Linked DNA regions of Oryctolagus cuniculus. The main gene of each other region encodes a partner of the protein of the gene in region 5 in a complex. Links are inferred from orthologs where the notes say so. Each region holds a gene or a part of one and is shown on either strand. Other genes may lie near its edges.

Region 1 (3,500 bases), on a different chromosome or scaffold from region 5:
TGTGGAAGACAGCTGAAAGCAATAATACTAGACATCATAATGAAGTGACGGAGATTGACAAGGATAAAGAAGGGACTGGCAGTAGAGGTGGGGTCTTGACACCTGGAGATTGATTACCTACAGAGAAGTAAGAGGTTTGTTGGTTTGATGCCCTGTACTAATTCTCAGAGTATATTTAGACTGCAGAACTGACAAACTCATGATAAAACTTCAGGAATCAAGAAGCAGAAATTGTAGCACAGGGAATTAAGCCACTGCCTTGGATGCCCATATCACATACCAGAGTGCCTGAGATCAAGTCCCACATCTGCTTCAAATCCAGCTTCCTGCTAATGAGTCGGGGAGGTAACAGATCTTGGCCCAAATACTTGGGTTCCTGTCACCCACATGGGAGATTCAAATGGAGTTTCCTGGCTTCCACATGGCGCAGTCTCCACTTTTGGTATTTGGGAAGTGAACCACCAGATGAAGATCTCTCGCTGTCTTTCCCTCTATGTCTTTCACTCTGACTTTCAAATAAATAAGTACAACTTAAAAAAAAATGTAGGAATCACCGTGGGCGTTTGGTACAGTAATCACAACACTTCTTGGGACACCCATGTCCCATATCTGAGTGCTGAGGTTCAAGTCCTGGCTCTGCTCTTTTTTTTTTTTTTTTTTTTTTTTTTTTTTTTTTTGACAGGCAGAGTGGACAGTGAGAGAGAGAGACAGAGAGAGAAAGGTCTTCCTTTGCCGCTGGTTCACCCTCCAATGGCCGCCGCTGCAGCCGGCGCACCGCGCTGATCCTGGCAGGAGCCAGGAGCCAGGTGCTTTTCCTGGTCTCCCATGGGGTGCAGGGCCCAAGCACCTGGGCCATCCTCCACTGCACTCCCTGGCCATAGCAGAGAGCTGGCCTGGAAGAGGGGCAACCGGGACAGAATCCGGCGCCCCAACCGGGACTAGAACCCGGTTTGCCGGCGCCGCAAGGTGGAGGATTAGCCTATTGAGCCACGGCGCCGGCTCTGGCTCTGCTCTTAATTCCAGCTTCCTGGTAATATGTACTGGAAAAACTGTATGAAATAGATCGATAGGAACAAAGTAAAGGTACTGCCGAGTAGTATTTTCAGCCCACATGGTTATGGCGCTTCTACCTGACACAGTAACAGGCAGCTTTTGCTGGTGGCAAAGATACTGTTTTTCTCAAACCTCTGAAGTCACTTTGTTATTGGGCTTTTGGTTTCTGGAACACACTGGAAACTATATAGGCTTCTTGTTACAACTTCTGTTATTTAACATCAATCAGTAGACAAGCATTTCCACTTTGAAGAGATCCTTATGTAATAGATTTTCCTTTCCTTGAAAGTGTCATTTAATTCAGAGTGTCATTTTTTATAATAGTTGTATCTAATTTCAGATACTTGGGCTTTTAATTTAAAAGGTGCTGGCTGATGGATTCCTCATGATTGGGATTGATGGCTCAGAAGCAGCGGATGGCTCTGACTGGTTCTGTTACCATGCGACATCTCCTTCGATTTTCCCTGTCGGTTTCTGTGAAATTAATATGATTGAACTTACTCCACCCAGAGGTATTCCATCCTAATGTGAACACTCGGATTTGATTCTTGAGTTCTTCTTACACAGGATCTGTTTACATTTAGCACAGATATTCTTGCTTTGGGGTCTATATATTATATAGGTGTGTGTTAGCTATATAGAAATAACGGAAGCTGTTAGGTGCTCTAAAAACAAAGCACTGTATTTAAGTTTACATAACAAATTACATTAAGACAGAATTTTTCCCAAACCATCTGTCCATTTTCTAATATGAATTGGTGTTTTAACCTAATGATAATATGAACTCAAGGCTATTGCATACATAAATTTTTTTTTAATTGAAGGAAAGGGTGCTACTGGCTTTCAGGTTAAGCCACCTCCTGCAGTGCCAGCATCCCATATGGGTGCCAGTTCAATTCCTGACTGCTCTACTCCCCATCCAGCTCCCTCCTACTTTGCCTGGGAAAACAGCAGAAGATGGCCTAAGTCCCTGGGCCCCTGCCACCCATGTCAGGGACCTAGAAGAGGCTCTTGGATCTTGGTTCCTGGCTCTTGGCTTTGGCCTGGCCCAGCTCTGGCCATTACAGCCATTTGGAGAGTGAACGAGTGGATGGAGGGCTTCTCTCTTTCTCTCTCACACTGTTCCTTAAGATTGAAGGAACTTTGATCGTAAGATGGCTTTTTTTTTTAAAGGAAATGTGTGTTAAGTAAATCACATGGCTAAATCAGTTGATTTTTCCAGTTTTCCTCAGAGTTTTATTTTTTCTCTCAGAAGAGGAAAAAAGAAAGCTACAACAGAGGTCTATAAAAACAATATTTGCTTGCCTAGTTTTCTTTCTTTAAAAAAAAGAAAAATATCACTTCAGGGTGTTAAATGCTAGACTCTTCTGAAGCCTGTGATTGCAAAAGCAAAAGTCGTTCTTGTAGTAAACCCAAAGGAAGGGAATCAGACTGGCATGATAGTAAGTAGGCACACCAGTGAGCTAAAAGTGTGTCATATAACCTGAAATCGGAGACTCTGTATATGTTACCTCTTTCTACATTTTAGTATTAGGCTAATTTTAAATGAAGTGTTACTTCATAAAATTCTGTTTTTTAGGTTACACAAAACTTCCTTTTAAATGGTTTGACTACCTCAGGGAAACTGGCTCCATTGCAGCACCAGTAAAACTATTTAATAAGGTAAATATAAATGTTGAATTAATTATGTTGGAGTTTTTTTGATGACCAATAAGTGCAAGTCATTGTTGATGAAGATGTCTTTCCTTTATATTATAATTGCTTAGTGGTGATTAATATAAATACATAATATTAAAACCATTTATTTTCTTAGTTGAAGCTTATTTCCAAACTATGTTTTATTTTTAATATGAATGAAATAAAAATGCTTCACTGCCGTAATATAACTTAAATAATTAAAAGTGGTTTGAGGTTTAGGGGCTATGTTATTTGGCTATATTGCCTCAATTTTTTGCTATTTTAGTTACAGTTCAGTCATGCATTCTTTATACTAGTGTTAATGTTTTGCTTCCCTGTTAGGATGTTCCAAACCACGGATTTCGTGTAGGAATGAAATTAGAAGCAGTAGATCTCATGGAGCCACGTTTAATATGTGTAGCCACAGTAACTCGGATTATTCATCGTCTCTTGAGGATACATTTTGATGGATGGGAAGAAGAGTATGATCAGTGGGTAGACTGTGAGTCCCCTGACCTCTATCCTGTAGGGTGGTGTCAATTAACTGGATATCAGCTACAGCCTCCAGCATCACAGTGTAAGTTGGTATACACAAAAGGTGTCCTTTTGTAAACATCAGCAGTTCTCCAGAGGACTGTCTCACATAAATCATCTTGTGAGCTCACAGGACAAGAATATACCTGTGTTTGATTGGTTACCAGGTAAGATGTTAAAACTCAACAGACTCAGAAAATCAGACCATGTGTACCAAAGGCAGTATGAACTCAATA
Region 2 (4,163 bases), about 88 Mb from region 5:
AGGCTTGAGTCCCATCTGCTTCCAATTCCAATGTCCTGCTAATGTGCGCCCAGGGAGGCTGCAGGTGGTGACTCAAGGAGTCACCCAGGAGAGACTAGGACTGAGTTCTGCCTCCAGGCTTCAGCCTGCCTTTAACCTGATGGAAAATCTCTCTGCCTGCCACTCTGTCTTCCAAATAAACGTAAAAAAAAAAAATTCTACCTAAGGCCCGCGCTGTGGCGCAGCGGGTTAACACCCTGGCCTGAAGCGCTGGCAGCCCATATAGGCACCAGTTCTAGTCCTGGCTGTTCCTCTTCTGATCCAGCTCTCTTCTATGGCCTGGAATAGCAGTGGAAGATGGCCCAAGTCTTTGGGACCCTGCACCTACGTGGGGAACCCAGAAGAGGCTCCTGGCTCCTGGCTTCGGATCAGCGCAGTTCCAGTCCTTGCAGCCATCTGGGGAGTGAATGAACCAGCAGATGGAGGACCTCCCTCTCTCTCTCTGCGTAACTCTTTCAAATAAATAAGTAAATTTTTTAAAAAATTCTACTTAAATTTTTAAAAATTTCCAAAATTTGAAAAGAATCATTTTTTTAACATTTTACTTATATGGGGGTTAGCACTGTAGCGTAGCAGGTTAAGTGGGTGCTGGCATCCCATATGGGCACCGGTTTCTGTCCCAGTTCCTCCACTTCCAATCCAGCTCCCTGCTGATGTGCCTGGAAGGGCAGCCGAAGACGGCCCAAATGCTTGGGGCCCTTGCAACACGCAGGGGACCTGGATGGAATTCCTGGCTCCTGGCTTCAGATCAGTCCAGCCCCAGCTGTTGCACCATTTGGGGAGTGAACCAGCATATGAAAGATCTCTGTCACTCTGCCTTTCAAATAAATGAAATATTTTTTTAAAAGATTTATTTATTTGAAAGGCAGAGTAACAGAAAGGGAGAGACAAAGAAAGAGAGGTCTTCCATCCGTGGTTCACTCCCCAAATGCCCACAACAGCCAGGGCTGGGCCAGGCCAAAATCAAAAGCCTGGAACTCTACCTGGTCTCCCACACGGTTGGCAGGGACCCAACCTTGTGGGCCATCTTCCACCGCCTTCCTAGCACATCAGCAGGGAGCTGGATTGAAAACAGAACAGCTGGGATTAGAACTGGCTCTCTTAAACAGGATGCTGACGTCACAGGTTGCAGTTTAACCCCCTGTGCCACACAGCCAGTCCCAAAGAATAACACTGTAGTACAGTAGCCACACAGGTATGGCAAAACTTCCAAGGGTTGAACTCAAGACTGATCAAAATGTGGAAAACACTACCAGAGCTGTGCAGACTGTCACACGCCGTACTCCATCCAAGCCTTACACAGCTCTTGGGCAGGGCCAGACTCCCCCTGTTCTACTCGGGGAGGCAGGGGCGGACCCTCAGTGCCAGCTCAAGCCCAGACCTCCCTGCACACCACCACCTGACGGCTGCTGCCTCCCCGGCCCCATGGCTGTCAACAACACACAATCCCACAAATGGGTATTTCGAGAGCACAACCTTTGGAAACTCACTTTTGGTTGGTTAGATAGCGGTCCCAGCCACGAATGATATTGCCATACATCTGAGTGTCTTCCAGGTAGCTTCCTTCAAAAGCATAGATCTGTCTCTCCAAGTTGGCCAGAGTTTCCTGGGAGACGACAAGCCAGGCCGGGGATTAGCTGTGCCCACACTGAAAGCCTGACCCTGGGCTTATCATAAACCCAAACTCACCCACATTAAACTACCTTCGTGGAGGGCTGGAGGACTCCAGGAACGGTAGGCCATTCAAGTCCAAGAGTCTGGATCTTTCGGGGTGATGGCCCGACCCCTTTGGGAACAGAACGGACTCCACAGAGCCTGTCCCCAGGTAAACGCCCACACGTGCGGAATTCTGCACAGGGCTCTCGGAAACCCAAGTGTCAAGAACCGGGCCGAGGCAGAACAGGGGCAGGCTCCACGCCCACGCACAAAGGGGACCGCCACCAGGCGCGGAATGAGCGAGGCACTGGGCACTGCCCTCCCAAGGGCTCGGCGAGGCCGCCGGCCCCGGGCTGCCCGTTGTCATGGAAACCTGGAAGGGCGGCAGCAGGTGCGCCCAAACGCGGGGTGCACGTCACGGCTCCCAGTTTCCCAACCCGGTCCTCGTCCCCCGCCTGTCACCTTCTGGAAAGATCACACCCCTGCCCATCCCAGACACCCTCCCACGGATGGGCTCCTAGGACCAAAAGGGACCTACCCCCCCACCATCCTCTCAGAGACCAGACCGGCTCCCACACTCGGCTCATCCCCAAAGCCCACCCGCAGGCCGGGACCCGCCTCCGCCCGCGCCCACCCGCACGACCCACGACACCCGCCCTCTCAGGCGCCCGCACGCACACGCCCCGGCCCGCGGCGCCCTTCCTCCTCCGCGCCGCCGAGGCCCGCTCCCCGCCCCCTCCGGGCTCCGGCCGCCGCTCCGCCTCCGCACCGCCGGAAACGGCGCTCGGCGGCACGCGCCCCGGCCCAGGCCGCCGGACTCCCGGGCCGCGCGCGGCGTCCCCGGAGTAACCGACGGCCTGGTGCGGCCGGGCTGGCGGTCGGCGGCCGGGCGAGCGCGGGGCCCCACGCCGGAGCCCCGGGTCCCAGCCGCTCACCGCCAGCTCCTGCTTCCGCTTCACGAGCTCGGCAAGCTCCCGCCGGGTGTCCGGGATCTGCGGCGGCGCCGCCTTGTTGTGCATCGCCATGTTGGGCTGAGGCGGGCAGCAGCGGCGGGCGGCTGGGGGCGGGCCCTGCGATCCGCTGCCGACCGCCAGGGGGCGCCCGCTGCACTGCGCCTGCGCGAGCGGCTTCCGGAGACGCGCGCCGCCGGGCGCCGCGCTTGGGCGGGGCGCTGGGAAACCCTGCCCCGGGGATGGATCCGGCAGGTGGGGCTGCCGCACCTGCTGGGATCTGCCTTTCCGCACTAGGATTGGCCGGCGAGCTTTAGGGGCACCGCGGGCTCACAGTGTCCAAAGCCAGGCTCGTGCTTAGAGTTCCTAGTCATTCCCCTGGGGAATGACTTCACTGCCACCGAGGGGCCCGAGTCAGAGCCTGAGGGTTATCCTCACTCCACCCACCCTGGGTGAAGCTCCTGGCTCCTGCTTGGCTTGGCCCAGCCATGGCCATTGCAGCCGTTTGCGGAGTGAAGCAGCGTTTGGAAGACCTCTCTCTCTGTAACTCTGCCTTTCAAATAATTTTTTTTAAAGAATCCTTTATTTGGGGGTGGGCATTTGGCTCAGGAGTTAAGCGCCAGCTTGAGATGCTGGCGTCCCATATCGAAGGGCCCCAGTTTCAGTCCTGGGTATGTTGATTCCAGCTTCCTGCTAACCTGCACCCTGGGAGGCAGAAGGGGATGTCATGGGATCCTGCCACCCAGTTGGGAAACCTGGGTTAGGTTCTAGGCTCCTGGTTTGGGCTTGGCCCAGCCCCAGCTGTTGTGGGCATTTGGGGAGTGAAGCAGCCAATGGAAGCTCTCTGCCTCTCTCTCTGCCTTTCAAGTAAAGAAAGAAACGTCTTTAATCCTTTAAGTTTTACTATCTATATTCTCCATCTTGTCTATCTGCTAATTTCTGGAAATTTCTTTTCGTGTATAGATTTAGTAACCTGGGATCTTGCCAAGCTCCCTTATTAATTTTAGGAAGGGTTTTCTAGTCCAGATTCCTTGGAATTTTTTCTGTGACAATCATTTTATTTGCAAATAGGGAATTGTTTTATATTGTTACTCCTTCCCAATATGTATACTGTTTTTAAAATATTACTTTTTAAAGGCTTATTTTATTTATTTGAAAGGCAGAGTTAGAGAGGGAGAGAGACAGAGACAGAGACTATGAGATTGAGCGATCTTCCATCCACTAGTTCAATCCCCAAATGACCACAACATGACCATCCAGCCAGGCTGGATGAGGCTAAACCCATAGAAGTCTCCCAGATCGGTAGCAGGGGCCCAAGGACTTGGGCCATCCCCAGCTGCTTTCCTGGGCACACTTGCAGGAAGCTGGACTGGAAACGGAGTAGCTGAACTCCAGCCTGCACTCTGATACGACATGTGGGCATCCCTGGGAGTACCTTAAGCTGCTGTGGCACAACACCAGCCCTGAGTGCTCTTTACTCCCTCTCCTGTCTCACTGTGCTGATCAGCATTCCTAGTC
Region 3 (3,500 bases), on a different chromosome or scaffold from region 5:
TTGGGGACAGTTCTAGAACTAGACGAGATGGTGTCCTTCTGCCACACCGCACACTTTAAAACGGTTTCTTTACAGGTAAACCACAAACGAAGAGATCAAGGGAAACTTTCCAACAGACAGGCACGAAGCAGAAACACCTGACAAGGCTACTCCAGCGTCTAGGAATGCAGAGTTGGGTAACAAAAACCCTGGAGACAAGGGAGCGAGCGTGGGCGCAGGAGGGAGCTGTAACAGGGCCTCGGGCCACGGCGGGAAGCAGCGAGGCGGGGTGGGGAATGCTGGGGGCGCTGGCAGAGGCTCAGCACCTGCGCGGGGGGGGGGGGGGGGGGATTTCCTCCTGACTTATTAGAGCAGTGTTTATTTTATATGCTTCTTTGTACCTGTCGGATACCAAAAGGGTTTCAGAAAAGTCTTAGGTTAAAAAAACCAGCGAGCAAATCCCACGGCGCAGCTTGGTACTGAGGCGTCTGAACCCCGCAGAACTGCCCTCTGAGCGGTGGCTGGCGAGCACCCACAGAAACGCCCAGCCCGGCCCCTCGCCGCTGCCCCGCTCCGCGTGCCCCGGCCAACTGCTGGCGAGCACCGCCACTCCGCCCAGCCCTCCCGCCAGCACACCAGGCTCCGCCCCCCGCCCCACCCACGGACTCGGAGGCCACGCCCCCATGCCCGGCTGCAGACCCGCGGACTCACCGTGCCGGTGGCCGGCCGATCGATCTGGATCTCCACCACCTCTCCTTCGATGATCTCCGTCTCCTCCCTGGCCAGAGAGCAGAGCTCAGGGCACAGCGACCCAGAACCCCCAGGAGCCCCAGGGCGGAGGGTGAGCGGGCTGGCGGCTGGCAGGAGGCAGCCCCTCCCTTACTTGATGCGCACGCCGATGGAGCGCCGGAAGGCCTGGGTCAGCGCCTCGGTCTTGCTCATTTCCAGGGAGAAGATCTCACTGCCGGCGATGGCTGTGAAGGGGGTGTCGGGGCCCAGCGCCTGGGCCATGCCTGGGGGAGGCGGGCTGGGTAAGCAGGCGCTGGCACCGCTCCCCGGGGAAGCCAGCTCTCCCCCAGGAAGGGGCGCTCGGCGCCATCGGCCTCTTTCCTTCCTTTCCCCTAAGATGTACTCATCTGAAAGGCACAGTGTCAGAGAGGGAGAAACGGAGCGAGACCTTCCATCTGCTGGTTCACGCCCCAGATGCCCACAACAGCCGGGGCTGGGACAGGCCCAAGTCAGGAGCCAGGAACTCCCCCAGGCCTCCCCGTGCGTGGCAGCAGCCCACGTACTTGGGCTTCCTATGCCTCCAGGGCAGGCAGCTGGCTGGCCAGAGTGAAGCAGCAGGGACTCAAACCACACAGTCCACGTGGGATGCAGGCGTCCCACGCAGTGGCTCGGTCTGCACCCTACGCCTGCACTGCCACCCCGTCTTCGCTTGGCTCTGAGCAGGGCAGAACCCTCGGGAAGGGGGCTGGAGAGAGGCGCGAGGCACAGGGCAGACGGGAGACAAGCCGGCTGCGCCAGAAGCCTGCTCTCAAATCCCGACCAGCCAGAGGGGACGGCCTCGAACCTCGCCGAGCGTCTTCCGTCTCCCAGTGTCTAAGAGCTGTCCGGCCTCAGGGCCTGGGGTGGGGAGCAGCCGGGTTTGAATCCAGACCCCACTGCTCAGCACGCTGAGCCCTGAAGGATCCCTAAGTCTCAGCTGCTTCCCAAGCCTTCCGCGGACGACAGCCTGCACTGCGTGATTATGGGGCGGGCACTCAACCCTGTCACTCAGCCTGCGACCACACAGGGACAGGTCTGCAGCTGGAACCTGGGGGCAGGCGGGGGCTGTCTCCTGTCATCTCCCAAGCACCCAGCCCCTCCCCCGGCCTCTGTCCAGCACAGGGCCAGTTCCTTCGGGGTCCCGGCGGTCTTAGCTCAGGTGTCGACCCCTCTGGGGAGCTGCCCCTGCCCTGGGACACCTCCATGACAGCACGCGTCACTCTGGAAGGGCCCGTGGCCAGGCCTGCCTCTCCCAGACGGGGAGCTCCCGGCGCTGAGGGCTCAGCGGGGCTACATGCACTCAGCGTGCAGCCCCAGGCCCAGCACAGGAGGGCACCAGACGACGCTGCTTCCCTTGACTAAGCCCTGGTCGTTCTGCGCCTCCCGCTGCCTGGGCACAGCCTGAGCCCAGAGGAGGGGGCAGTGGGAAGGAGGGCTTCAGGGAGCCCACAGTGCCAGGCAGGGTTCTGAAGGGTGGACAGGGGTTCGCCGAGACGAGCGACACTTGTGACAAGATGACAGATCTCCGGTGGGCGGATGGAGACTGCCGGCTGTGTGTTCAGCGCCTGTCTGTCCCTCCTTCCTTAGTTCCAGAACAGTCGCTGCACTGAGGCAGCCACAGACCAACTTTGGAAATTCAAAGAAGTTGTGAGCGTCTGAGCCCCTTTGCAGCAGAGTGTAGGCACGTGGCTAGGTTCTGGCCGACGGGACAGCACAGCACGCCTGGCTCCCGAGAGCCGCTCCCGGGGAGCTGACCTAGGAGGTCCGCCCTCACTGCCTGCTGCCTGGAGTGTGGGTGGGGAGGCGGGAGCTCAGGCAGCCCTCTCGGAACAGGAGGCGATCTTGACATGGAACCGAGTGCAGAGGATGTCAAGGCAGGAAGACAGGAGACCTCGTGCAGCTGCTCAAAGGCCCCAGTGGCCCACGTCTGGACTTTCTTACGTGAGGGGTTTGACGCTGACTTACGAGGGGGGCTCATCTGGCAGAGACCAAGAGCGCTCCTGCCCGGCGGGGCCTCTTACCCATGGCGATCGCCGTCTTCCCGGTGCCCGGCTGGCCAGCGATGAGGACGGCCCGCCCGGCGATCTTGCCTTCCCGGATCATCTCCAGGACCACGCCGGCTGCCCGCCGGGCCGCCAGCTGCCCCACCATGCCCTGGGAGGCCTGCGCGGTGGAAGCAAGAGGGCCATGAGGGGCGCCGACCAGGCAACCGCTGTACTTCTACCGCATCCAGGCGCGGGACACCAAAGCAGACACCGGGGCCCAAGACTTCTGGGGAAAGCCAAAGCAGCCCCCCATGTCCATGTTTTGACGTCAGTTAGACTCCACGTGTGGCTGAGTTTTGTAAATGTGGAGCCACAGGTCGGGAAGATAACACAGTCCCACACGCGCCACGGGCACCGTCAGCCCTGGCCTTCATGGAGCAGCCCTGAACCCCAGTCCCCTCTGCCTTACCTGCCGTGGCTCCAGGGCATCGTCCAGCCCAAGTCCCCGGATGTGGGAGTGAGCACCTGCGTGCAGGGAGAGGCAAGGTCACCGGCAGCTCGGCACATGCTCAGTCAGCTGCGGCTGCCGCTGGGGTCGCCACACTGGCCACTGAGGCCTGACTAACCACATGAGCCCACCAGCAACTATGGCTCTGGGTGCAGGGCTCACACGGCACCCACAGGTGCTGGCTTCCTTCTGCACAATCCTGTGAAACGAGGGCTGCAGCTGGGGCGGGGTGGTGGCATGGAGGGCTAGGCCACTGCTCG
Region 4 (3,338 bases), on a different chromosome or scaffold from region 5:
AAGTTAAAAACGAGCTCACTGGGGTGGGCCTGTACCTAATGATTTGTGTCCTTATATTGGTAATTTGGGGAAAAATCCTTTATTAATAAACTCTTCAAACCACCCATTCTGAGTCTTTTTTTTTTTTGGAGGGGGCTGGGACTTGAATTGATAGGATTTTATGTGATTCTTATTTCCATATTTGTTCTTAATGTATTTTCTAAAATTTTTACAATAGTTATGGTTACTTTTCTAGTTGATCTGAAAAAGTCATGAAAAATATGTGGTTTGACTAGGAAATTCTCATGTTTAGATGAACCTACAAGTACAGCTATCCAATACCATGGAACATCTCCATGGATTCCCTATGCTAGGATTAAAGAGAAGGAACTTGACATCTGTTGGGGAATCAGGGAAGTCTTGGTCAACGATCTAGGAGTCACAGATCTGTGATACCACCAAGATCTTTCCTGAGCAAGGTGAGTCTGTCAGCTTTGGTGACATTAAAGGCACAGCACATATTTCTTGCTTTGAAACTTAGAAACAATTTTTATTTGAGATCTGAAATACAATTCCTAAAATATCAACTTCTCCAGAAAACCGTGGCTACACAATAATGCATTGCCTCTATCATGTTAGAACGTGCATTAGACTCAAATACAAAAACCATGAAACAAATCACCATCCTTCAACAATTTGAGCAAAGATAGGATGCCTAAGGAACAACATAGATGGATTTGCAGAGGATGGGCGGTTTTTACTTCAAGCACCATAAAAAAAAAAAAAGAGCACAAATGCATGGGTTTTCGGGTATATACATTAAGTTGAACCTTTGGCACTAGGAATCAGGGCATTTTTTTTTTTATCACATAGCATTAACACAGATTAGAAAATTGTGTAGTGTCAAAGGGATGGAACCACCAGCGTTCAAGCAATGTTGTCAACTATGCAATAAAATGTTCTACTGAATTTTTCTTCTTTTTCTAATTACTGCATACACTGGTAGCAACTCTGAAATGAGAAAAGGAGTTTGCACTCCTTTTATTTTCTGTTTAATATAGAACAGAAAACAAATTGAAACATAAGCCCTGTTATACATTAACAATTTTAAAGAACATCAATTATACAAGAAAAAGACTAAGAACAAAAAAAAAGTGTTTTACAGATACCAGACATTAATGGTGAGTGGTCAGTAGACCCTCACAGGGCTTTGCGGTGGTACTCAGCAGAAGCCACTTTATAATCACTGGCAGTAAACAGAGAAGCAGAATTCTTTGCCAGATATTTTAGGAAATCATGCAAATAGCCCAACAATAGAGCAAGGCTCTTTTCATCAAGGGGCGTATAAGCCAACATTGCTCCAATTCTCACAAATAATCTCAGTAGGTGTGGTGCTCCATAAACCTGGGACATCGGCGCATCAGGGTGAGCCAACAGGATTTCAGCATACTGGGGCCTCTCAAACTTATAGAGCAGCTGAGTGCCCAACATCACATTGAAATACTCTTTTATACCTCCCACAACTTCATTGACGGCATATTCTTTGTTGTCGATGTTTCCCTGTGACTTCTTGCAATTGGCATACTCTTCCAGAATAGCATCTACATTCTTCTTGGCAGGGAGTTGAAAGAGCTGTTTCTGCCTGGTTACTAAGTCCCAGTCCTCAACAAGCCATGGTTTTAATTCTTCAGGGATCTTGACCTTCACTTCCATCCTATTCTTGAATGCATCCTCACTTTCGACAGTGGGATCGGCCCGGGCCCTCTTCTTCCGAGGGGGCTGGGGTGCTTCGCTGGTACTGCCGCCATCTCCATTCCCAGGAGTCTTCTGCTTGTTCTTCCTTGTCTTCCTCACAGATCCTGAAGGGGGGTTCTCAGCCGAGCGACCCCCCCATCTTCCTGGGAGAGCTTGTTCAACATTCTTCGGCTGTTGGCCAGCTGTCTTCTTTCCTGAGGAGGCGCCTCTCATCTTACTTCTCTGCATGTTGCCTCTAGTTGGCTTTTTGAAGTTGTCTTCTTCCGCAGATTGTTGTCCACGAGTTTGAGAACCCTGCTTTCTGGAACTCATTCAACCCTGTTTTTATTCCAACCACTGTAATACATAAAGTATTTTACATGTTTGTTTTCTACAGTGATCTTTAACTATGGTTCATAAAGGCCCATTAGGCCACAACATATGCTAACTCCTACTACCCACTACTGTCATCCCACCCAGGCATTCCTCAGACTGCTCTAGTTTTTTTTTATGTCACTAAAAGTATAGGTGTGCAATTTTAAAGAAGGAACTAAAATGACAAAGAAATGATAAAAGGCAGTGGAGTTGAAATGCAAGACTTTGGAACAGAAGAACAGAAGGAATGACAATGTAAAAGAAATCAGGAACATCAATTTAGCCAAAGAGAGGCAAAATGAACAACAGTAAAACAAGCAACTGGAAAGGTTCTTGTCTTGGTCCAGGTAGGTCGGAAATAGGGCAATGACAGTAAAGAGAAACTGAGCAACACGCTGAAGGAGACCAGGAGTCAAAGGGGCTCTGAAATGTCAAATGTGGGGAGCTAATGAGTTAACAAAAGTAGACTTAAGTGTTACTTTGGAATCAGCAATAAAAATGAAAGAATGGAGGTAAACCATCCATCTATTTGGTTTGTCATCTTCTATTGCTGTATTTTTGCTTCCAAATAGGCACTATGGTAGGTGTTAGGGATTCAAACATCTAAAGTGACAATTATAAAACAAGGTTAGTACATGATGGTTTATAGGCACAGAATACTTTGGTAGCAGACAAGACATGGCATGTAACAAAATCTCCAGTTATCACTAGTTGGGAGGGGGAGCGTAGAAAGTTGGTGAGGGAGGAGTCAGTGAGGACTCCCAGGTTTTGAGAAGTGATTAGGTCATTAGTATTATCACAAAATAATACTGCATCTGCAGGAGAAGAAATTGTTGTTCAGTATCAGCCTTCTTGCATGTGCGGTGTGCATTTCAACATAGCATTTTAAAGCTTAGGTGAGAGAAGTCAGAACTAGAAGTGAAATCTGAGAGTAATCATCATATAGCTGGCAATGGACACTATGAGGGAGACCAGAATAAAATCTGGGAAACCTGAGGAAGCGATATATAAGGGGTGAGCAGAGAGAAAGGCCAAATGAAACAAATGGCCAGAGCAGTCATAGGAAAATTAGGAGACTTAATTTGGAAGCCCAAGTTGAGAATTTCAAGAAGTGACAGGAATAATCGACAGTAAGGGAGGGCTAGAAAGGATGCAAAAATAATCCTATGGTATGAGAGGTCAAACAATTCTTTTCACTTACACAATCTTCCTTCTTTCCTTTCCAAGAATGCCTAGTGAGTTCCCAGATT
Region 5 (3,930 bases):
TCTGTGAAAGACAGCCTAGGAACACATTAATCCCCTGGGCTTGACTCTAACCTGGTAGTAAGCCATCTCCAGAGAGCAATAGATCAACTTCATATTAGTTTAGTGCCTAATCAAAATGCTTTCAACAAATTAAGAATTACTATTCCCGTATCTTTTATCCAGTCATTTATAAATGACTGGATAACAGAATGTTTTTATATCACCTACAGGGTGGGGTTATATAACCACCCCGTTACTTCATATTTATATATATATGTATATGTATATATGTATACATATATATATTTATGTATTTTTTAAAAAAATTCACTTTATTTGAAAGGCACAGGAGCTAGTGCTGTGGCATAGCAAGTGAAGCCACTGCCTGCAGTATCGGCCTCCCATATGTGCACCAGTTTGAGTCCCAGCAGCTCCACTTCCAATCCAGCTCTCTGCTATGGCCTGGGAAAGCTGTAGAGGATTGTCCAAGTCCTTGGGCCCCTGTACCCATGTGGGGGACCTGGAAGAAGTTCCTGGCTTTGGATCGGCTCAGCTCTGGCCATTGCAGCCATTTGGGGAGTCAGCAGATGAAAGGCCTCTCTTTCTCTTTCTGTAACTCTGATTTTCAAGTAAATAAATAAAATCTTAAAAACAAAAAAAGAAATGCACAGTTAAAGAGAGAGAGGTAGGGAGACAAAGATCTTCCATGTGCTGGTTCACTCCCCAAACGGCCGATATGGCCAGGGCTAGGCCAGACCAAAGTCTGGTTTAAGTTGGAACTGGTTTAAGTTCTAGTTGCTCTGCTTCCAATCCAACTTCCTGCTAATGTGCCTGGGAAAAGCAGTGGAGGATGGTTCAAGTCCCCAGATTCTTACACCCATGTGGGAGACCCAGAAGTTCCTGGGTCCTGGCTTTGGCCTGGCTCAGCCCCAACTGTGGTAGCCATTTGGGGAGTGAACCAGTGGAGGGAAGACCTCAAAAAAAAAAAAAAAAAAAAAAAGTAATAAATTTTCCCTAGAGTTTTATGCTGAATAGGTTTGTCTCTCTAAAAGAACACGTATGCGTCTTTCTTACCGTAAAAAGAAATTTAGTTTGGCTAAGTAAGCCACAAAACTCACAGCTAAATTTAATATCAATTGCTCTTACCATTTTAGCATAGGCTCCTGGTACAATGACTTATGATCTGTCTCTATTTTTACTGTTCCTACTTTTTGTTTATATCATAAGCCTCTTTAAATCCTTTTTGGAAGCATGAAGAGTACATATTAAATAACGACTCGTAAAATGACAGAAATAGGAAAATGACTTTGGAGGAGGGATGAGAAAGTTCTATTTTAAACTACTTGGTTAGGCTTGTGTAAGTAATGACTCCCAGAAAGTCACTGAGCCTTGTGGGTGCTATTTTCTTAATATCTCTTGAACTCTCCCATCCATGTTTCCTGCCCCCTTCAAACCATTCCCCCATGTCCCTTATTACAGAGTAACAGTTCTGAAGTACAAATTTAATCTCAGAAATTTGATGACTCTTCTCAATCTTCTGGATGAAGAGCGAAATTCCTTACTGTGGCTCTCAGGGACCTATGTGATCCAGCTCATGCTCACTGCCTCCAGCCTTACCAGTGTTTATTCTTCCTTCAGGATAGAAAATAAAAGTAAACTTGCAGGTCCCAGATCAGGATCCCAGTGCCTGTCCACACTGTGCTCCAACCCCTTCCTGGAATAATCTTTCTCATTCCCTGTTCTCTGTTCTTCATCCAGTCAAGTCCTACTACTCATACTTTCTTTGCTTAAACATCATCCCCACAGGGATCCTTATCCTGAGCAACAACTCTGGATCCTACACGTTCCCGTAACATGTTTATCGCACAGAATTTTAAGAGACTGTAAACCCGGTCAGTCCCTCCCCCCGACCCCGAATCTGGATATATAAGGACAGAGAAGTGTTTTTAACACTGTGTAGATCTATCACCACCCACCGCCACACTCCATGTGTTCAATATGTATCAACTGCACAGGTTCAGGAAGTAAGAATGTAGCAAGTGTCAGCCCAATCCTGACACTGGACCACCGACGGGAAGAGTAACATTTGAAGAAAGACTACCTGTAACTTTACAGAAGTTACAATCTAACAGAAAACTATAAACAAATAAGCAAGCCAAGTCTATTTACAAACTTCACAGAAACAGCTTCTGGGACGGAAGTCATTGGAGAAGTTTTTAGAACAGTCACGGAAGGGTTATCTAGGAAAACATTGACACTGGGGCTCGAAATTTGAAAAAAGGGTAGCCTAAGAGCCCCGGTTTTCTGGAGCGGCTTCCTCTGCATACTCCATACTCCTCTGCATAACCCAGCAGTGCGCCAAACAGCACAAATACATACCAAGGGACTGCCTACGATGTGCCTTCCGCATGCTAGACGTCACAGTGCAGAGAAACTGGAGATGTGCACTGTAGGTTTCTACCACACTGCGGGGTGCCTCCAGAGGGCTTCTCCATCCCAGACCTCCACCCCCACCCCAACCCGGCCAAGGGTTGTCTCTTCCAGGACTCCACTGCACCCCCTCCCACCCACCCTGACTCGAGTATCAGCTCCCAGAGCTCCTCGGTAGAGATTCCCCGCCCCCTTCTTCTTTGTCCAGGGTTTTTCCTTGCAAGACTCCTTCTCTTCGCTTCCTCCCTTCCCTCTTCCTGGGCCCGCTTCTTGCCTCTGTGAAACCCCCATAAGTCGTCTGGTAGAACTCATCTTCTTCCTCTGCCTCCAGGAGCCCAGAGAGCCGGTTCCCAGCGGTCTTCCGGGGGGCCCGGCCCCCAGCCAAACTCATATCGCCTACGGAGACTGCGCCGCCACCAGCGGCCCCTCACCCAGCTCGGTTCTCGGAGCTCGGTACTCGACACCACTACCTGCGGGAGGGAGGCCTCAGCTGGCGGAAGTCAGGCGTCAGGCAGAAGCAGTAGAACATCGATGCCTTCTGGTCCCGCCCCCTACAGCCCTCTTTACCTTTCAGCCCCGCCCACTCTGGCGCTGAGCCTCCAAGCCACCTCCGACCTGTCTTGCTGAATGAGTATATGCCGTGCCCGTGACACCAAGACTAAGTACAGACTTTGTAGTGAACAAGTTTTTTTTTTTTTTTAAGATTCATTCATTTATTCATTTGAAAGGCAGAATTATAAAGACAGAGAGGGATCTTCTATCAGCTGGCTTACTCCCCAAATGGCCATAATGGCGGGGGCTGGGCCAGGCTGAAACCAGGAGCCGGAAACTCCATCGGGGTCTCACGTGGGTGGCAGGAGCCCCAGCACTCCAACCTTCCTTTACTCTTCTTCCCAAGCGCATTAGCAGGGAGCACTACTGGAAGTGGAGCAGCTGGGACTTGAACTGGCGCTCAAATGGGATGCTGGCATTGCAGGTGGTGGCTTAACCCACTGGGCCACAAGGCTGACCCCAACAAATATGCTTTCAGAGGTCATGTTTCTATGTTCCAGTCTTTCATTCTGCTGTAGGTAGTAACTTTTCTAAAAATGGAATTAATCTTCTCCTCAAAAATCTTTAATGGAGGCTGGCGTTGTGGCCCACTGCCTGCAACAGCGGCATCCCATATCGGTGCCAGTTTAATTCGCAGCTGCTCCATTTCTAATCCAGCTGCCTGCTAATTTGCCTGGAAAAAGATAGGCCCCTTCCACGCAGGTGAGAGAACAGACCGGTGCGCCTGGTTTTGGCCTGGCCCAGCCCTCGCTGCTGTAATTGTTTGGGAGAGAACCAGCAGATGGAGGAGTCATCGCTCTTTGTTTCTCCCTCTCTCTCTCTGTAACTCTGCCTTTCAAATAAATAAATCTTTTTTAAAAAATGAACTTATCTTTTTAAAGATTTATTTGAGAGAGTTACAGAGGGAGAGAGAGAAAGAGAGAAAGGTCCACCATCTGCTGGTTCATTCCCCAAATGGCTGCAATGGCC
Region 6 (3,500 bases), on a different chromosome or scaffold from region 5:
TGGGGACTCTTGCGGAACACAGCTAGTTTCCTCTGGTGTTGGACTGAATCAGAGTCTCTCTGAATCGACTAAGGTGTTAGACTGAATCAGAGTCTCTCTGGTGTTGGACTGAATCAGAGTCTCTCTGAATCAACTAAGTGCTAGATGAAGTGGTTAGCTTTGTACGGGGGGGGGGGGGGGGGGGGTGGCCGACACGACGACATTCTGTATGTAAAACTTGTCCTTAGACCTACAATTACGCTAAGTGAGATGTTTTAGCCCAAGAAGGCAATGACAAGGTGGGCAGGAAACGTGTAGGAGAAACAAAGGATTTGCATCTCTCATTCCAGCTTCACCTTGCAGAAGACTTTTTCTTAGAACTGTATTTAAAATCCTGTATTATGATTCAACTACCAAATATTCTTTGCCCCTCCAGGGGCCTATACTTAAATTCACTTAACTGAAATCCATATATGACAGAAACGCACTCTAATATATTTGACAGAGCAAAAAGAGAAAAGCTTTCAGTCACCAGAACATTTACAAATATGAAAGAATAGTGTTATCCCATAGTAGTTTGGAGGCGTCTAGTCTCTAAATATATGGGAACTCCAGCGATTTTCAGAAGGAATTGAGAACAATCAATACCACAGAAAAAAATAGGTAAGCTCATTTAAAAAAAAAGTTATATATGTAGGGAGAAGGAAATGATTAAAAAGAGATTAGAATATTATAAAGATTTTTTTCCAGCTAAACTTGTGGTATGTTCAACAATGTTCACCTTTTAAAGTTCTTTGGCAAACACAAATTAAGAAAGTTTTGTAACTGATATTGATATGCCTTTTATGTGAAACAGAAAACTTATTTATATAATAACAGTGAGCTTTATAAAATTATTAAGACAGCTATAAACTTCAGTTTCTCTAAGGGATGGGAAAGATGGGGATTGATGGAACATGTCTATCTTCTCTAAGAGGTCTCAATTTCATAAAGCTTCAGAAGCTTTAAATATTGGGGAAACTACTGCAAATTTATACTTTTAAACTGTTCACACCACATATACATCTTCCTTCATTGTGAAGTTCTTCATTTTGATTTTTAAGATAATAAACCAGAGAGTAATTGGCTTTTGGTGATAAAAATATTAGGAATTAATGAAATTTATAAATAACCAGTTAGATTTCCAAGAAACTTTATCTTCCAGTTGATCTACAATGTGATTACTTTTCTCATGAACACAAAGATTTCCATTTCACAGAAGTCCTTTTTGTAACCACCAACAAATTACTATATGAACACTTTCTGGAGGTCTTCAAGAGAAAGAGGCACATTTTCCTATGCATGAGGCAACTGAACCATTACCCCACCAGGTACTGATTAGGGAAACAAGCAATCTTTACAGTCCTTTCAACATCAATATTTAAATTACCTCGAAAAAAATGTAGTAGCATAATTTTAACAGTGAAAGTCTCTAACTTATAGGCTTCAAATGACACGGACTTGTGCTTTAAAATAGAAAGCTACAATTATAGGAATATTTTAAGTAGATAGCATTTATTGTAATAGCCTTATTTCACAATGTATAATAATAAAGTCGACATAGTCTAAAGATGTTTTCAAAAATGTTAAAGTAAACTTTAGCTTAGATATTCTTCTTTGCAAAGTTAGTTTCTCTCTTAATACATTGTTCTGAATTGTTTTATCAGCACAGATGCTTAAGCACGCCTACTGACTTGCTGGAATCCATGCTTAGGTAAAAGACGAAAGAAGTATCCAAGCATGAAACTCTTTAACGATTTCAGGTCTGTTTTCCTTTCATATTATTTGAAAATGTAATCAATGATTCTTGTGGTTCAATGACTGCATCCAGCAATCAAATGTCACCCATTAAACAGCAACACATCGCCTTTGCATGTGGGTGTTATTTGAATACAGACACATACATACAAACTCCTACAGCAACAAAATTCAAATACTTAAACCAAGACCTTTTTTATTTTATTAACTGTTTTGAGAAAAAAAAGATTTTCAGCTACATATGTAATAAATCACACACTCAAAAAACTGGAGGAACCTTACATTTTTATAGAAATGCACATCATAGCAAATAAACATACCGAAGTGTGCTGAGCCACTGCTACTTTTACTTTGCGTGGAGGTACTGCATGTCTGGGTCCCAGGTTGTGCTGTTCCTGTTCGATACACACTCCTATACAACTTTCTACAGGAGAGTTCATCATTGTCACCGTCATGTAGGGATGGTGTCCGAGGCCTAAAATGCCGCCATCTACATGATTTGATATTGACTAGTATCTGACTGAGGTCTTTAGAGAAAGATTTGTCCGAGGTATTTGTTTCTGAGGTATTGGCAAACTGATTGACTGGAGAATGTTGTGGTGAGGAAAGCATTTCCAAATCCAGGTGGCGAAACATACTGTCGTAGTCTGAATGAGCTCTGTCCAGTAAGACCCTATTAAAAACACGGTGGAAATAGATATATATCAGCAGCTCCTCAAGGACTATTTAGGAAAGCTTTTCCTTTCTCCCCCCAACCCCAACTTCCTAACTCCTATTGGATATTCAAAAGCTATAAAGTTGATTATTTCAGTATTTGATTATTACAGGCTCAAAAACACACTTTACAAAATCTTGCTAACATATCTGTCTGTATTTAAGCAAAAACGTCATTCTTTGGGGGAAGAGAAAAGCAGTTAAAAGACATGTGATATTTGGTACTACTAAAATTTCTTATAGACAAAATATGACAATCCCCTACTTTAGGGGGATATATTATTATTGATATAAACTTCTAACCCATTTTTATTTATTTCAAAGGCAGAGCGAGCACATGCGCTTTTGGCCTCTGGTGCATTCCTCAAATGCCTGCTACGGTAGGGGCTGGACCAGAAACTGTATCCAGGTCTCCCATATGGGTGGCACTGGCGCCAACATCTGTTGCCTCCCAGGATGCACAATAACAGGAAGCAGGATCAGAGGCAGAGGTGAGACTCAAACCCCAGGCAGTCTGATAAGGGATGCAGGCATCCCAAGTGGTGACTTAACCCACTGCATCACAATGCCAGCCACAATCTAAATTTCATAAATGACTCCATCTCAAAATGAGAATACTGATTAATGCTAGCAACAGAAGAAAATACAGCCACCACAGAGAATTTTCACTACCACCAATGTCACAGAAACAAAGTACTACAAAGTGGCAAAATATTTCAACAAATAAATTAAGAACAGCAAAGAGAAATATCTAAAATATCCCTCTGCTAGGAACACAGAGCACCCTACCTTCCACCGCGCCCAACCCGTCTTCGTGCAAATCCAATACACCTCTGGGGTACGGTGAGAGTAGTTAAGCAGTATCTGTATCGCACATCCCCTAATCCTCCATCTTTAGGACTAGTCCAAGGCCAGTTCCCAGTTTGGTCTAAGTGAGGCTAAAAAAAAATATCCACATTATTTTATTTTGTCAGTTAGAGGGAAACAGTTAGATATTTGCAAGGAGGAAA
Region 7 (3,199 bases), on a different chromosome or scaffold from region 5:
CTAGCTGCTCCCAGTGCGGCAGCTCGTTGCTAGGATACCTGAAGCCTCGGCCTAGGGACAGTGGCCGCTGAGGGCCAATCCCAGCAACAGGTTTGGAACTTCTCCGGATCGTTTTAATCAAGGACGTCAGCCACCGGCATTTTACTCTCCTTGTGAATCTCAGAGCGCTATTTGTTTCCTAACATTTCCCTCACAATTTTTCTTATGCGACTCTCCTGCCAATTAGACACTACCGTCCACACAGACCTGTGGCAAGCACCTTCTTGTTCTACCAGATCATGCTGTTCTCTCTATACCCAGTTTCTTTAAAATTGAAAAGCAATCTTTGTTTGTGAAATATTTATTTATAAAGCAGTAATAAAATGTTTAATTACCTCTAAATTGGGCCTATGGAACAAAGATGTGGGGTAACATTTATGACATAAATCCAAATCTCAACCCTCCTCCCTTTGTTTTAATATTATATCCACAGGCACTGGTGCCTCCTTTTACTAGAAAAGACAACAGAGAAGTGGTAAACAAAGTGTTGGGATTTTTCTGGGCCAGAGTTTCAGGAAGAGGTCCAAACTTGAGAAAAAACGTCAGAGTAGCAGCTCCAGGTCAACCAAATACGTTTTCATCACCCACTGGATTGGTTGGTTCTCACTCCAGACTACTTAAGTCTCTCCTTTTGTCTAACCAAATACTCAGCACCTGCAGGGTCAAGGCACAAATAGTAAGCTATGAACTTAAAAGCTAGATGATTCAACATAATTTTCCCCCTTATTTGGCAAATAGATGCAATTACACTTTTTTTCTTTAAAGTATAATGCTGCCCAGAAAAGAAACCCCCAAATGTTTCTTTAAAGCTACTAAGTCTTTTCCCCCAAAGATAGAAACCTGTGATGTGATTAATAGCAACAGTTGTAGTAACCAACAAATGGACAGTGGCTCCAGCCTTTGGTTTGCTGTTCAGTCTTCCCACTTGAGGCTCTAGAAGCCGGAGTTCCCATCACTCGCCTATCCCCAGCTTTCTTGAGAGGTCTTCACTGTTGCCTGTGTTGCTAGACTACATCACTTCACCTCACTCTCTACTAAAAATAGAACCTACTGAGGTTCGGGGTCCAAAGCAGTAGACACAACACCAGGTGTTGAATCACTTCTAAATATAAACTTTGGAAACACAGCACCACTTCAACATCACCTTTACTGTCACAGACTTTCCAAAATCAGATCGTAGTGGCTACACCCCTTTTACTTGCAGCACTCTACAAACAGTACCTGAATCTGCTCCAAGACTTCTCGCTGCATCTCCACAGCCATATGGTACACATGATGATCAGAATCATTGTACATCACAGCATTCTGGAACATCAGCATCAGGTCCCGCTGGAACTGAGCCAAGGTGCGAATTCGTCCCTTAGACAGATTTCTCTTCAGGCTAGTTAAGTCCATGGGTCTGTAAATTGGCCAAGAGAAAGAGAGGAGATCAAACATTAGTATGGAAGATGTGGTGACCTACCATGCTCTTTTGGAGAACTGGTTCCTAATAAAAATAAATAGCAAGGTAGGCTGGTGCCGCGGCTCACTAGGCTAATCTTCCGCCTTGCGGCGCCGGCACACCGGGTTCTAGTCCCGGTCGGGGCGCCGGGTTCTGTCCCGGTTGCCCCTCTTCCAGGCCAGCTCTCTGCTGTGGCCAGGGAGTGCAGTGGAGGATGGCCCAGGTGCTTGGGCCCTGCACCCCATGGGAGACCAGGTAAGTACCTGGCTCCCAGCTTTGGATCGGCGCGGTGCGCTGGCTACAGCGGCCATTGGAGGGTGAACCAACAGCAAAAAGAAGACCTTTCTCTCTGTCTCTCTCTCTCTCACTGTCTGTAATTCTACCTGTCACATAAAAAAAATAAATAAATAAAAATAAATAGCAAAGTAACAACTCCCATCAGATAAAAGCAACTGCGATTAACATTTGACTGTTCATAGTAGGCTAACTTCTACTGTAGGCACTTTCTGTAGTAACTTAGTCCTCTGAATCCATAAGGTAGGTATCATTATTATTTCCACTTAACCTATAGAGAGGTTAAGTACTTGCCTAATGACACACAGCCTGGATTCAAATTCAAATCAACCTGACTACAGAACCCCATGGTCCAAGCCACTATTCTTACTGTGGGTGGTTGGCCAGGCATCAGAGCTGTAAGGGGACCCGATTATCAATCAGTTTGCCACACAATAGTTTTTGGCTGTTGGCAATGTAGTCATATAATAGGTATTTAATCTACTTCTCTTGTTGCATAAATCAAAAGTGAATTTTTTTCCCCTTTCACTAAGATGAAAAGAACGGAGATCAAATGAATAGTCACACAAATAAATATTTACAAAGAATAGATATATACGAGAAAGCACAGCAGTGTAGAAAGGGCTGAACTGGAAGAATCTATAGCTTGGGGCAGGGCTGTGGCGCATTAGGTTAATCCTCTGCCTGCGGCATCGGCATCCCATATGGGCCCCTGGGTTCTAGTCCCAGTTGCTCCTCTTCCAGTCCAGCTCTATGCTGTGGCCTGGGATAGCAGTGGAAGACGGCCCAAGTGTTTGGGCCCCTGCACCCACATTGGAGGCCAGGAAGAAACTCCTGGCTCCTGGCTTCGGATTGGCGCAGCTCTGGCCATTGCGGCCATTTGGGGAGTGAACCAACGGAGGGAAGACCTTTCTCTCTGTCTCTCCCTTTAACTGTCTGTAAACTCTACCTCTCAAATAAATAAATCTAAAAAAAAAAAAAAAAAAAGAATCTATAGCTTAACTCTGCTATTAACTGTTGGTTGTTCATAGGTAAGTCACAACTACCTTTGGACATTAATTTCCCCATTTATATTACAAAGGAGTTTGTCTCTGCTATAGTTTCAGTGATGATGTTCTCTCTGAAATTCACGTTGAAACATATTCCCCAATGCAACAGTTCTGAGTTATTGGTCTTGGAGAGGTGATTAAGTCATTAGGATGCCACCCTCATGAATAGGATTAGTACCCTTATAAAGGAGGCTGAGATTGATGGAAGCCCTCTTGCTTGTCTATTCTTCCTACCATGTAAGAACACAGCATCTGCCCCCTCAAGAGGATGTAGCAATAGGGCACCATCTTGGAAGCAGAGAACAGCCCTTTAGAGACCAGTCCTGCAGGCAACTTGATCCTGAACTGCTCAGCATCCAGAACCATGAGAATAAAT

The links.
Region 1: VPS72 (region 5) and MBTD1 share a complex: the UniProt entries of both Homo sapiens proteins name them as parts of the nuA4 histone acetyltransferase complex. The link is inferred for Oryctolagus cuniculus from reciprocal best matches to the Homo sapiens genes VPS72 and MBTD1.
Region 2: VPS72 (region 5) and MEAF6 share a complex: the UniProt entries of both Homo sapiens proteins name them as parts of the nuA4 histone acetyltransferase complex. The link is inferred for Oryctolagus cuniculus from reciprocal best matches to the Homo sapiens genes VPS72 and MEAF6.
Region 3: the proteins of VPS72 (region 5) and RUVBL2 are in contact, whole or in part, in a cryo-EM structure (PDB 9CA9), measured with the Homo sapiens proteins. The link is inferred for Oryctolagus cuniculus from reciprocal best matches to the Homo sapiens genes VPS72 and RUVBL2. Residues at the interface, in NP_005988.1 of Homo sapiens: Pro210, Ile211, Ile212, Thr213, Tyr214, His215, Ser216, Val217, Thr218, Arg260, Cys261, Ser262, Arg263, Thr264, Thr273, Glu276, Trp277; in NP_006657.1 of Homo sapiens: Glu141, Val142, Val143, Glu144, Ile145, Gln146, Ile147, Asp148, Arg149, Pro150, Ala151, Thr152, Val187, Gln188, Ala189, Gly190, Arg207, Phe209, Thr210, Arg211, Ala212, Asp214, Tyr215.
Region 4: VPS72 (region 5) and MORF4L2 share a complex: the UniProt entries of both Homo sapiens proteins name them as parts of the nuA4 histone acetyltransferase complex. The link is inferred for Oryctolagus cuniculus from reciprocal best matches to the Homo sapiens genes VPS72 and MORF4L2.
Region 6: VPS72 (region 5) and EPC1 share a complex: the UniProt entries of both Homo sapiens proteins name them as parts of the nuA4-related complex. The link is inferred for Oryctolagus cuniculus from reciprocal best matches to the Homo sapiens genes VPS72 and EPC1.
Region 7: VPS72 (region 5) and BRD8 share a complex: the UniProt entries of both Homo sapiens proteins name them as parts of the nuA4-related complex. The link is inferred for Oryctolagus cuniculus from reciprocal best matches to the Homo sapiens genes VPS72 and BRD8.

Annotation. Positions count from the first base shown.
Region 1 is NC_091448.1:27,000,961-27,004,460, reverse strand, and holds part of MBTD1 (MBT domain-containing protein 1), read left to right. Parts: intron 1-1,417; coding exon 1,418-1,565; intron 1,566-2,632; coding exon 2,633-2,715; intron 2,716-3,072; coding exon 3,073-3,307; intron 3,308-3,500. UniProt on the Homo sapiens protein: Chromatin reader component of the NuA4 histone acetyltransferase complex, a multiprotein complex involved in transcriptional activation of select genes principally by acetylation of nucleosomal histones H4 and H2A.
Region 2 is NC_091438.1:135,241,529-135,245,691, reverse strand, and holds the start of MEAF6 (chromatin modification-related protein MEAF6), read right to left. Parts: upstream 2,801-4,163; 5' UTR 2,721-2,800; coding exon 2,631-2,720; intron 2,069-2,630; exon of another isoform or gene 1,783-2,068; coding exon of another isoform or gene 1,729-1,782; intron 1,646-1,728; coding exon 1,530-1,645; intron 1-1,529.
Region 3 is NC_091449.1:8,261,926-8,265,425, forward strand, and holds part of RUVBL2 (ruvB-like 2), read right to left. Parts: intron 3,258-3,500; coding exon 3,202-3,257; intron 2,911-3,201; coding exon 2,769-2,910; intron 993-2,768; coding exon 863-992; intron 758-862; coding exon 691-757; intron 1-690. UniProt on the Homo sapiens protein: Possesses single-stranded DNA-stimulated ATPase and ATP-dependent DNA helicase (5' to 3') activity; hexamerization is thought to be critical for ATP hydrolysis and adjacent subunits in the ring-like structure contribute to the ATPase activity.
Region 4 is NC_091453.1:89,784,663-89,788,000, reverse strand, and holds the end of MORF4L2 (mortality factor 4-like protein 2), read right to left. Parts: 5' UTR 3,290-3,338; intron 2,071-3,289; 5' UTR 2,047-2,070; coding exon 1,180-2,046; 3' UTR 501-1,179; downstream 1-500. UniProt on the Homo sapiens protein: Component of the NuA4 histone acetyltransferase complex which is involved in transcriptional activation of select genes principally by acetylation of nucleosomal histone H4 and H2A.
Region 5 is NC_091438.1:46,919,284-46,923,213, reverse strand, and holds the start of VPS72 (vacuolar protein sorting-associated protein 72 homolog), read right to left. Parts: upstream 2,801-3,930; coding exon 2,684-2,800; intron 1-2,683. UniProt on the Homo sapiens protein: Deposition-and-exchange histone chaperone specific for H2AZ1, specifically chaperones H2AZ1 and deposits it into nucleosomes.
Region 6 is NC_091444.1:102,677,175-102,680,674, forward strand, and holds part of EPC1 (enhancer of polycomb homolog 1), read right to left. Parts: intron 3,429-3,500; coding exon 3,280-3,428; intron 2,450-3,279; coding exon 2,097-2,449; intron 1-2,096. UniProt on the Homo sapiens protein: Component of the NuA4 histone acetyltransferase (HAT) complex, a multiprotein complex involved in transcriptional activation of select genes principally by acetylation of nucleosomal histones H4 and H2A.
Region 7 is NC_091437.1:25,955,661-25,958,859, forward strand, and holds the end of BRD8 (bromodomain-containing protein 8), read right to left. Parts: intron 1,439-3,199; coding exon 1,261-1,438; intron 694-1,260; coding exon 643-693; 3' UTR 501-642; downstream 1-500. UniProt on the Homo sapiens protein: May act as a coactivator during transcriptional activation by hormone-activated nuclear receptors (NR). Isoform 2 stimulates transcriptional activation by AR/DHTR, ESR1/NR3A1, RXRA/NR2B1 and THRB/ERBA2.